Linked DNA regions of Schizosaccharomyces pombe. Changing the gene in region 2 together with the main gene of any one other region gives a genetic interaction. Each region holds a gene or a part of one and is shown on either strand. Other genes may lie near its edges.

Region 1 (5,286 bases), on a different chromosome or scaffold from region 2:
AATACTCGGGGACGAAAGTACAAACCCGTACCGAACTTGGCTATCCACAGAGCTTCCGTTTGAATCGTTTCTTCGAGCTTCCCAGGCTTGAAAACTCCTTTACTTTAAACAATACACTAGTTCCTTAATAAGGATACAGTGTTTGACAGATTGTCGTCAAAAAACACTTAAGAATTCGATTAGTTGTTAAGTGGAAAAGTTAGCTCCGACGGGCCCCATAAAGGCTGAAGTCAGTCGAACCTAGGCGAACACTATTGACCCTTACCGAAACGGTATTTTTGCCTTATACTATTTAACGAATGAAAAAGGCTCCGATTGATACTTGGTTGAAACTGCGAATAGTGCGATGTTGGGTATCACTATTGACCGATATTGCCTGTTAAAATGACCTAAACGTTACTTTACATAACTCCTTATACTGTATTACACGTGTTATATATTAAACGCTAACTGATTTTACGATTATCTTCTTTAAATAGCAATAATAACTCTGTACACTGCGATATCACCGTTTTGTAGAACTTCTTTAGCTGCAGTATGCCCATAGCAGCAACTTACATATTCAATTGCTCCTGTAGTGAGAATAATTATTCTGTCTATTTAAATGAAGTTTATATCTTAAAATAAAAGATAGTTATCTTTCTGGATTTCCGGTTTATCTCTTGAATGGAAAGACACCATGTCGAAGTACCCACGGTTAATTTTTTACTTCACATCAATATGTACAAATCGCTAATTTGAATATGATGCTTAACCTAGAATAGTATATATTTATATATATATATATATAAATTGGAGTATTATCTCAAGTAAATAAGACACAGCTGATTAGTTTCTCGGTTTGACCAGTCACCCTGGTTTTCTAACCTAAACCACTTCTGCTAACTTTAACAATAGCACGTAAACTATCTTTGGAACCTTCATTTTCGGGATGACCAAGTCCTTTACCTGCATACCATCCTAACTTTTCGAGCAACCGACGACCTGGATTTTCTTTGCTAATTTCAGGGGCATCTTCTCCAACAATTTGGCCATCATATACACGTGTGGCTTTACTCGACCTCACAGAGGAAACAGTCATTCGAGATTTCCTACCAGATTTGGAAAATGACTGATACTCAACCCTGGTCTGTAAACGCTCCATAATCCTGGTAAGTGAAACCAAATCCACACTAGATGCATCAAATTTATGAGTTTTGGAAAGCATAGTATACCGCTTGTTTCCAGATCCATAACTTCTCGACTTCAAGTTCAAATCGTTGGCAAGCGCATGAACCAATCGACGAACATATTTTCTGCATGGAGGAAGGGAAATTTCTTCAATGGCCGAGTGCTTAAACTGTTGCATCCGTTGATAAACATCATTTATAAATATCTTATCAATTCGTGTAAGACTAGCATTGTCAGAATCGGAAGAAGACGGCTTCTGGCTTTCGCGCAAAAGTTTCTTTTTGCTTTTCTTTCCAAGTAGCCCCTCAGAGCGGAGTTTCTCCCTTTCCGCTCGTCTTCTTGCCTTTTTGCTTTTATCTTTAAGCCATTGTTCTTGCAATTCAGCGTACAAGTTCATGCTCTCATCGTCCAAAGAATTGGAAAAGGCATCTCCCATTCTAGCGGCCACAGCCTTTCCTGCCTTTCTCTCTAATTTCTTTTGAGCTTTACGCATTTTTTTAGGAAGTTTGCGATCTTTTTTCAAACCTTTTTCTTCTTTTACCTTCGCCCCTTTTTTGCTTTGAGAAACTTTTTCCGTTTTTTGAGTTGAGGGGTTATTGTACTCTTCATCCTCACTGTCATAATCATAAATAGTAAAATCATTTTGCAAAGTATCTCCAATACTAAGGTATGCCTCAATCTCGGAATCATCACTAGCATCAAAAATTGCCAAAAGCTCTTCTTCATCTTCATCTTCATCTTCTTCCAAAATATCATCTTCATCTTCGGCTAATGAATCTGTATTTCCCACAAGTTCCGTCGTTAACTTAGCATAATCATAGTCATCTGATCCCTCATCAAATTCTAAAGATTCCGAATCTTCAAGTGAAAAATTTACTTTACCCTCTGTCTCATCGTAATTTGATATTTCAGGTTTTTCTTTCTCCTCTTCCTCCTCTTCTTTCTCTCCTTCTAGCTCTTCATCTTCGTCCTCATCATCATCATCTTCTTCTAAAACGGAGAGGTCGGCAAACTTGTTCATAGTAAACGTAGTCATTTTATCGGTGGTGTCATCAATATCAAACTCGTCTTCATTTTCGGTACTCAACTGCTCCTGTGCCTGAGCCAAAGGCGGTGGAGGTGCAGCGTTATTGTTAGCAATATCATCATTGACCAAGTTTGGAACATTTAGTATGTCTAAAGAGTCATCATTATCTTTAGAATATAACTCCTTCTCAGATTCTTGTTCTTTGTAACACAACTGCTCACTTTCTTCTGTAGATGAAATTTCCTTATCACTTGGTGCAAGATTTAAAGAATGCTGAATCAAAACATTTTCGTTCATGCTTTTCTCAGGAAAACTTGAAACTTCTACATTCTTGGTGGTATCAAACGCTTCCGCATATTCCGGAATTTTCTTTACTTTCAATGTATCACCTTTCGAAGTAATTGCTTTAAATAACACAATGTCCAACGCCTTTATTTCACCGGTTTTTGATAAATCTTCGCAGGACTTAACGTTGGTTTCCTTGGGAAGCATAATCTCTTTGCTTTGGTGCTTAGCTTCATTGTGGGCATTTTGTTCATCGATTAATTGACACAATTCTTCCGCCGGGTTGTAATTGTCCTTAGCACGTATAAAGGTAATTCGGGGCCATTGTGAAATTCGACTACTAGGGTTTAAACCAAAAGGGCTTTTAGAATTATTGGATCCCTTAAATCTTCGGATTCGTGTATCACCACGAAACCTGGCAGAAGTTTGTAACTGATCTAAAATCTGTAGATCATCAAAATTTGACATTGAGGGATACAAGTCAAAAAATATGATAAAAAAAATAATATATAATTGTTTTAATAAATAATGATGGTGAAATCCTAAATTGTGAGGTGCGTAAACCAAATGGTGGTAGTAGGATGGAGTCTTGGGGGAAAGTGCTTCATATAGTACACTAAACGATTTTGCCACGGTATTAAATACAAATTTCTAAATATTCAATTTACAATTTAACTATTAATTTCAAGTATACACGTCTATTTAAACTGAAGTTGAGGAGATTCATACATTGACCGACTCAAAGTTGAATATGAATTAACCGACAGTAGCTCATCATGTAATTATAAGTTATAAATTTTTGTATAAAACATATAAAACAGCCAAATAACTATAATGTAAATAGTGCAAGAAATAGAATGTTAGAATATAGAACGCTATACTAATGCAGTTTCTTTTACGTCCCTCGAGAGCAACGACAGGGGAAACGATTTGTTCTTGAAACAGGGAGCAATGTAAAAATACATAGAATTACTTTATAATGAAAAAAATTCCTTTTTATTTTAAAAGTATAAAAGAGAAGCGTCGAATAGGGAACGAGATGACAAATTCTGCATATGATGAGAACGGTAAGGAATTTGAAGTTGAACACATACACAAAAGTGTATTCAGAAAAAGGAATAAATAATGTAATACGCTCAAAAAAAAGAAAGTAATAGAAATTTTTCTTAAGAATTTCAAACTTAGACAACGAAAAATAACAGTGAGTGCAGATATATGTATAAGTAGCGAGCGAACCGAATATTAAATACAAAAAAACAGCTATACCTTGGTACGTTTTTGAGCGTTCAGCATATCAGAAGAATAGAAGTTAGGATTATTGTTGGGATTTTCACCTTCAACCATTGGGGAATGGGTACCTTGGCGTTTAATCCCCTGAAGACTATAGGGCGGAACAGAGGCAATCGGCATGGATTGAGGAAGAATTGATGGATCCATATTGGGGATATTATTTTGGTCCAAAAGACGATTAGCTTGACTAATTGCATTAGCAGGCATAGTGGGAGGTTGCTTGGCATAACGATAATTAGAGGCAAGACTAGCAACATCACCATTCCTAGGCGAGCCATTAAACCCCGAGGGGGCTGGATTTGCATATGGAATATTAGAGGAAGTAGACTTTTGCATTTGATGCTGTTGTTGTAAAGCTGTAGCAAATTTATGTAAAGCGCTAGTCGGACCCGATCGCTGAGCAAGAGTGAAGGCTATGAGATCGCGCATTCCCGAAATTGTTTCAGTAATTTCCATGAACCGCATGATGTGCGGTTCCAATCCATATTCGTTGACGGGTGAATCCGGCAAAAGAGAAGAAGATGAGTTAATATTTACACTTTCGGATGACGGATCCTCACTTTTTACCCCATCGTGTTGTATTTGATTTTGAGGAGGCCGCGACTGCGAAAGGGCTAGGGAAGCGTTTGTCATTAACTCGCGCAAAAGATACTCGGAATGTCCGACAGCTGAAAACTCTAAAGAGTCTAATTTTAACAAAGGAGCACGAAAGAAATGAGCCCGCAAGTGCCCCGATACAATTACCTGTACACCGCCTTGATACTGATATAAAATGCTTGCCCTTGACGATTCCACAAAATACCCATTGTTTGGAATGGCAAATTCCTTTGTATTTCCCAAAAGGAACGACATCTTTTTAAGTTTGCCGCAATAACTCAGATATAAGAAGCGCGGAAGTGCTGCATACGATAATTCAAACAATTTCGGCTCCTGGTTTGGCGAATCTTTGTAGTCGATGTTATAGCGAAATGTTCCCTTTTCAGTATAAAAATCATGCACAAATCGTCTCCAATACCCAATATCATCTTTCATGGTACTTTCCCATCCTGACATTAACTGTTCATTATATTGTAATAATCGCAAAACACCGTATCCTAGTATATTCGAGCCATTATGATACATCATGGACGCATAGTTTGCAACCATAGCTGCGAAATTTACAAGAAAGCCACCAGCGCTGCAGAATTGGATTTGTTCAAAGTGCAAAGCGCTTGTGAAACATTAACGGCCGGAGCCCGCCATGCATGGTTAACCCTTTAAGTGAATTAGAGATTGGCACGCTACGTTAAAGACATTTAGAAAATGTGATGCGCTGTGTTATTACAAACGGCTTGTATTTGGGTGAAGATAGCATCTTTCAAACGCCTGAATTTGTGATATAAATTAACATTTTACAAATTAAAATATAGAATAAAAAATTCCTTCGTAATTTACCTTGTTCCCATTTTTTACACTGATTTCGAGTATCAATATTAATGAGATCAACGCCAGTTTTCCGTATGCCCTTTATCAAT
Region 2 (7,987 bases):
GCTTTTTATATTTATATAATTTTTTCATCTTAAAACTACTAGTATTCATTTTATGATATTTTTTGGTAAACTTTCTATGTTGTTTGGGTTTGATTATAAAAGCCATACAGCCCATTTATCCTTTAAATGAATCCCGATCTAAATAATCATCTATACGGTCAGCTATGCGATTGATATCTTCTGTCGCTCCGCCAAATTGGAAATCGCTTTCAGCAGTTCCAAATCCTGCTTCGATGTCAAATGAAGTTCGGTCGTTATTTGAATGTAAAGAATGAGATCCACGAAGAAGGACTTCTTTGAGAGAAGGTGATCTTCGAGGTTCATTATCAGTTGGTACCTTCAAATGATCTTCCACGCTATGGTTATCATCACCTTCACCCGAAGCGATTGTCGGTACAGTCGATTCAACGATGGAGAAACTGCGATCACTAACTGAAGGTGTTCTAGTTGACATTAAAAGTTGCTCTGGATCAGCATTATGTTGGCGAAGGACTTCTTGAATGGGTGTTTCGGGTAAAATCTCAGAAACTTCACTCAAAAGTATGAAAGGATTTTCTAAAGCTTTCTTCTTTTCTTCCATATGTTGAAGGAATGTTTTTCTGATGATTGAAGTTTCAACCAAACCCAACAACTTTTCCATTCTAATAGATTTTTCCAATTCCGAAAGTACGTACGCTCGGCGAATGTAGTCAGAAATAGGAAATGCTTCACGATGATCAACAATTTTATGAAGTACAACTAACATCAATATATTCGAAAAAGAAATGACGTTGCCCGGTAGTGTCATAATCTCTGTACAGAGAGAATTCAGTACGTTTCTTCGCTCTTTCACTACGTTTACATCAATAGTATCAATAATTTGGTCTAGCGCCTCTAAGTTTATTTCAGAACCCATCAAGGGATTTTCGAGCATTGGGACAGATTGCTGCCCAGTTTTACTCTGAACTTTGGAGATAATGCTTCTCAATGTATGTTCATCTCGATATATTCTGAAATCATAGACACCCCTTAGCGAAAGAACAAATTTTACAGCATTGCGTTTGGGAATATAACCGGTGACCATGGGGTCAAAAGGTGCCCATGAATCCTTAAATTGTCGGAAATCGTTACGCTGCAAATTTGTAAACGAGGAAGATTTAGTATGGATGTAGGAAAAGTTGTCGAAAACAACAGTAATAAACATATTAACAAAAATGTACATTGAGATAATATTCCAAGCAATAAACAATCCATAAGCCCACGGTTTGTTACCGCAGTCTGAATTGTAGAAATCGTCACCATTCACACAATTAGGATATGATATAGTATAATCATGCATTACATCGTTCCAGCCTTCTCCAAAGGTCATCGTAAAAAGCAAAACAAGAGCATTGCGTATTGACCTAAAGTTTTTGTTAGGCCCTCCATTCAACCCAAGCTTGGTCAACCCGAAAATCTGATTAAACGCTATAGCAAAGGTAATGTATAAAACAATCCATGTCGCAATCAATGAAAAAATAGAAGGTAAGCTTGCAACCACAGTTTTAGAAAGCTGATCAAAATTGTCAAACTTCGGAATTAGATGCACAGTAACTAACACCAATAAAGTAGTTTGCAGGAGTGTTAACGACCTATTTTCAAACTTTGCAAGGATAGCAATATTGCAAGTGAGACTTCCTAATGTTACAACGACATCAAACATATTCCAAAAACTGTGAAAAAAATAGTAGAATGAAAGACCGTAAACTTTGACACATATGTTTATCGTATAACATATTGACAGTATTAGAAATATAGAGTTTCGAACATAAGTGTACGCTATAGGACAAGGATAAAAAATGGTTAGAAGGAACAAGAGATGCACAATATACAACCCAGTAAATGTCCTTCTCCATATGCCATGTTTTTGCACTGCAAAGTCGTAACAAAGTCCTCTTAAACCCAGAGGTCTAATGGCCGGCCTTTTCGACGGACGCATTGATTTTATCTTCCTGCGCAGTTCCAACCACGCGCGCTGTTCCGCAGTAAAGAAAGCCGACCCTGTACGTTCAGCATAATTGCTGATGATGATGGCAATAAAAAGAGTCAATATATAAATCATTGAAACAAGGTTGAACAACACAAAGAACATAGCATTACCAGAAGAGGCATTGGTCTGGGGTTGATTATTGAATCCAGTAATGTCCATTACCGAACGCATAATGTCTACCCATCCTTCAATTGAGGCGATTTCGAACAAAGCGAGTAGAGCATGAGGAAATCTATCAAAATCGTAATCAGGGGGATTGGACCAGACTCTTGGTGCCCAAACCTCCCAATTATTAGGAGTGGATGCGTATTCTAAAACACACTGAGAAGCTGATAAAACGTTGTCATCATTACAACTGTATAATAATCCACCAAAAACGTTTTTAGCCCACAGAGCAAAAGGAATTAGCAACGTTGCCGACACAACGGCGGCAGAAAATATTTTAAAAAAACCACTAATTAGGGCGTCATGAAACATCCGCTGTGAAGTTTGTGTAAGATTGATTAATCGAAGCACACGAAGCGCTTTGAATGCTCGAAAGGCTCGGGAAAGCAAGGCATGGCTTGTTAATACTGCATAAAGATTGATCCATAAGGTAACCAAAACGAAAAAGTCGATGCAATTCCAAGTACTTCGAAGGTATGCATTTGGTGTAATACAAAATCCATCAGCTATTATTTTTATAGCGGCTTCAATTGTAAAAATAGTTGCAAAAGCTACCTCTGTCCATACAAACCATGCATGTTGTTTATCATTCAATAAATGGTCTCGCTCATAAATAGGTGTAGCAATGCATTCAATAATCACTGCAGTTAGAATACAAGCATAAATAAAAACTTGTATTACACGGTAAACCCATTGATATGGCTCAACACCGCCATATCGTTCATTCACACCGGGCATTACCAGTCGTTGACAAAACCTCCTAATTCTATTCGACGGTTTAATGACCCAAAACACATCATTATACTTTGGGTGATTCTTTAAAAATTCGGTCTGCTTAATTCGGACAAATGCTTTAGCAGCTTGCATATCTTTCGCTGCAGTCTTGAGATTCATATCCTTTTCCCAGCGTATACCGATAACACGTTTGAAGTATGCTTGAGAAAAAGGGTCATCACGCATAACAAATCTCTTAAAGTTATTTGACAGCTTTGCCAGTGAATATTTAGATAACTCGGGTGAGGTATCCAAACTCGGTTTAAGTGGCTCTTTAGGAGGAATATTAGTAACACGCAAAAAGCCTTTAATAATATTGTCTTCATATAACCACTCATAATGAGATTCATCCACTGTCTTCCCTTTTCGAGATCCATTCCTTTTAATTAAGGCATTCAAAGTAAGGGAAGCTTGAAAAGGATTATAGTTCCTTAATAACCTAGCTAAGTACATTTTCAATTGTTCCATTTTTAGATCAGATTCTGAAGGTGCAAAGTTTACCTGAATGACAGCAATAAACATACTTAAAACCACGTTGTTTGAAAAGAGAAACCAAAGAGTAAAAAAAGCTCCAGGAATCCACGATAAGTGAAGATGTGCTAATCGAGCTTGGATTGCAAACATCACATCCGTCCAATTCTCACTTGTCAAAATCTGGTACATGTATAAAAACGATTCGTAAGTAGTAGCGAAGCTAATCGCATCATCGTCTGAATCTCCGTCATTGGGCAAATCTTGAAACAACCTGACAGCGCACAAAGATGCAATGAATAAGACGATTACCAAAAATAGCATCAAATTTAGCAGTTGTTTAAAATTTGAGAACAAGAGTTTAGCAATTTTCCGTGTATAGGGAATCAAAAGAATGCATCGGTATATCCTAGCAATAGCAAATATTGACAACCAACCAAAAGCTACAGGATTTTTTCTAATACTCGGTAATAAAGTAACCAAATTCAAAACGGCCAAGACAATATCAACCAAATTTGTATACCGTCGAAAAAAAAGCCTATAATCTGGCAAGTATGCAAAAAATCTAAGAATCACTTCTGCAGCCAGTAGAAAGTCCACACAAGCGTAAAAGATTAGGTACCTATTTGCAGTGCTAGAAGTTTGATCATATGTTTGAGTACAAAGAGTTACAAACTGGGCTACTATAAAACTTATCCAAATAAAGTTCGAGTAAAATAGGTACTTCTCACATAACTTATTTCGAATGAGATGTTTATCAACAGATTTTTGTTCTTTTTGATTCTTTCCGGAATGCTGCAAGTCAATAAAAGAACTCGTTACCACTGCAATCACAAGGGACATGAGCCAGAGTGTAAGAAAATATGCAGATATTATGAAAAGGAGACAAGAAACAAAATATTCTGCATCCATGATATCGTACATAATATCCGTGAACCCATTGGAACTCATTATAACAAATATCAATTCCAAAGAATTGAAAAAATTGTCAAAGCTAACAGTGTTACTGTAGGGGTTTTCCACCACGCGACAAACACTTTTTTCAGCACAGATAAAACCTCTGGGGTTCACGTTGGATGGAAATCCATTTTTATCTAAGTAAGCCCTTTTTATACCATTCTCCCAATGACCACCACAAAATTGACCAGTAGGTAAATACTGGTCCCCGTAATCACCAAGCCATACGCATTGACGATTCAGTGATGCCTTAAAAAATTGAACACCCAATATAGCTATCATTACCCCAAAGAAAGCATTAAACGAGACGACTTGTACTAAAGGTGTAGACGACTCTTTTAAACTTTTTAGGATGGTTTCAGTTTTTCGAGTTATATTCAACAGCCGAGTTAGGCGCAAACAAGCAATCATACTAAAAAGCCGAAAAATACCTTGCTGTTTTTTACCAATTACAGAGATCCATAAAGCAACAATAGCCACAAAATCGACACGATTCCATGAATGTCGCAAATAAGACATTGTTCTGGGAGTTTTCTTGGTATACGAGTTTATGAAATCATAAAATGAAGAGGAACCATCATATAAAAAACCAAATAAATAGATTTTGAGCAACATCTCTAACGTATATAAGATACCGATTACAATAATTAAATAATCGATAGTTTGAGACTTATCATGAGGGTCATCAGAACGAATCATTAGTAAAACCGCATGTAGCACAATTACAACAAAAATAAAGATATTGTATAAAGGGTGATTATAAATTTGGCGGAGAATTGGGGAAAATGGCAAGTTTCTTCCGGGTGTTTCATTAGCTCTTGGAGGGCCAACAACTCTCAAAACCGCAGCGTAAATTTCGGAAAAAAAATGAGTAAAATAAGGAGATAGTTTATCAAACAAGAAAGGTTTTCTAAATCTCCTTAGACTGGTGTAATCTCCCTTGGTAGTTTTATCTCCATTCAGAAGACCTTTATCTAGTGTTTCTGAGTACCTAGAAACAGTAGGATAGGCCAATTGAAGTTCAGACAAGATTTTGTCCTGCTCATCAACAGTTTCGGTTATGCCAAGGTTATGAAATTCGACACCGTCGCTGGTCATGGAAATCGTATCTTCATCATCTGCAACATTATACTCAAATGGGTTAACATTATCCAAATAGGAATCATCATGGGAATCAAAAGAATCGTTTACGAATGGATTTTTTTTATTTATGTAGGAAGAGGTATCTTTAGGATTATCTTTAAGGGGAATGAAATCGGTATTATCAGGGCTAGAGCTTGGATCTGAGTTTGAGCTTGATGACATTACACTTCTTAATTTTTTTTAAATGATGAAAAAAGACTGAAGGAATGTAGAAAACGTCGAAAACCAGAACCTCTTAAGAGTCAAGGAGCTTCTCTAACACGGGAAATGCAAAAAAAAGGAATAGATATAGTGCAACAAGATTTAATTATAAAACGTAACGAATAGAATAAATATTTAAAGTCAAAATAACGATTGAAATAAGGAAAAAGGACTAACAGGAGGATGTAGTTCATAAACCGTTCAAAGAGAGACAAATGTAAAGAAAAGAGTCCAATTGCCAGCGTTCATGAGATATGGAAAACGACAATGTATGCTAAAGTAAAGTATATTAATAAATGACGAAAATGAATGCAAGTTTAAATTGTAAAGAAACAGTGAGGTGTAAAAATGCCGCCGACACAAATTTTCGAGTTGTTGCCCGGAACTCAAATTGTACGAATGCTTCAATAGTTTTAGTTTCACACTTTTTATATTCAAAAAAATAGACAAAAGGAATAAATAAAACTTTCAAATCTACGTTTTCTCAAGGTGCTTGCTTAACCCAATGTTGGTAGTCCGCTGGAGAGGATTGTTCCCAAACCTGGCAATATGGACAGCACTGGGAATAGTAGGAATGGTCGACCCGTATGGTTGGTACGGAACCGCGAAGACAGGGAAGATGAAAAATTAAAACTCTGGGTTAATTTTAAATGTGATTTTAGTTTGCAAGTATGTATAGGATAATTGATAAACACATTCAATACTTAAATAAACTATTAGTTTAAGCAATATATAGATAGTTTTTTTAATAAACAGATATTTTTTCTTCCTATTGAATACAAAATTTATTTCTTCCTTCCAAACTTCTTTATCTCACATCTATTACTTAATGAAATGCTTTATTTTCGATAGGTTTTGTAACGAAAGCAAGAAATTACGATAGTAACAAATTTTCGCAAACGATATAAACGTCTAGCAAATAAATTAATTCAATGGTAATAGAATTATGGTATGTCCAACAAGATGAAATAATTGAAGCGGATAACAAATAAGATGTACTCTAATTGAATAATCTCGAAATCGACATCAATGAAGGGTAGAAGAAAAAATACCAACTATTATAACTTATACCAAATTTGTATAGAAAAATTATGAAAAATAGCGAAAAGATATGCTTCATCATGAAAAAAATTCAAGAATGAAAGAAACATATGTAAAAGACTAATCGTAAAGCATCAAATTGAAACCTCAACAAGTCTTCAATATCCATAACGGACATAAAAAGGAATGAGACAGTGCTGATAAGAAGGGTGAAAAAATCAAATTAAACAGCTGAATTTGTACAGCAAACTAAGGGTCAAATAAGCAGGATTAAAAGAAAATACCGAGGAGAATCGTATGTCTCAAAAAATAGAAAAGAAAATGAAAAATGATAATTAAAACAAACAAAGAGTTCAAAGAAAAAGCCTTTGGCTGAACACAAAGAAGCAACAACGCGAAAATCACATTCACGATACAACCATCAGACCAAAAACTACTTTTCTTTTTAGAAAAAAAAAAGTTTTCATAAATTGTACAGTTAGCTCTAAAACATCGCTAGAAATAAAAGGAAGGATCGGTTTTCAAAGGAAGAGAAATAAAAGCTTACATAGCTTGAATGATCATACCAGAAGTCCAACCCTGTTGGGATAAACTTTTTTTAAATTGAAGGACGCGTCCAAGGAAAAAAAATCTTTGGACATTTTCAAGTCCTACTTCTTCTAATTGGGACTTGGCATGAGAAAAAGGAAGATTGGGATTAATCTGAATCGAGTAATCTTTGTCATCCTTACTGTAACGGATTAAGACGGTTTCCAAAGACGAATCCAATTCCGCATCCTTTAGCGATGCTATGGATTTTGTGGTGGTATCATGCTCCTCTGGGGATTTTGTAGGGTCGTTGCTACTTATCATGTTATCATCCTCATCGTCGAGTGAATCTTTTCGTTCTGCAAAAGCACGAGGGATACGAGCCACAATTTTAGGAATTTCATAAAAAGTGCCTTTTGAATCGTATACACCCTTACTAATATCGTTTTCTGGAATCGTCAAATCCGCCGCCAATGCCATTTCGGTAGCCGCTTCAGCATTTCCTTCGTACAATAAAGTCACTACTTTGTGCAAAACATCCCATATTTCTTTTGAGCCACCATAAGCCCAGCAGGTTTCCCAAAACTCATTTCGACGTACCTCGACTTCTTCTTTTGTCAGCAGAGGATTGGGTGTGTACAGTTTGGGCAATCGCAAAATATTGCTACCAGATGGCTGCTCACCGCCATTATTTGCAAC

What was found.
Region 1: mutations in cch1 (region 2) and sqs1 together harm fitness more than expected from each alone (negative genetic interaction), as found in Schizosaccharomyces pombe (one large-scale study listed by BioGRID).

Annotation. Positions count from the first base shown.
Region 1 is NC_003423.3:1,301,079-1,306,364, forward strand, and holds sqs1 (G-patch and R3H domain-containing protein), read right to left. Parts: upstream 3,058-5,286; 5' UTR 2,951-3,057; coding exon 863-2,950; 3' UTR 519-862; downstream 1-518. Other genes in the region: ldb1 (LIM domain binding protein), read right to left, coding at 3,743-4,918.
Region 2 is NC_003424.3:2,724,412-2,732,398, reverse strand, and holds the start of cch1 (plasma membrane calcium ion import channel Cch1), read right to left. Parts: upstream 6,241-7,987; 5' UTR 5,681-6,240; coding exon 116-5,680; 3' UTR 1-115. Other genes in the region: SPOM_SPAPB2B4.07 (ubiquitin UBTD1 family protein), read right to left, coding at 7,304-7,987. UniProt on the Schizosaccharomyces pombe protein: Voltage-gated, high-affinity calcium channel that functions together with yam8 to mediate calcium entry into cells. Required during conditions of environmental stress.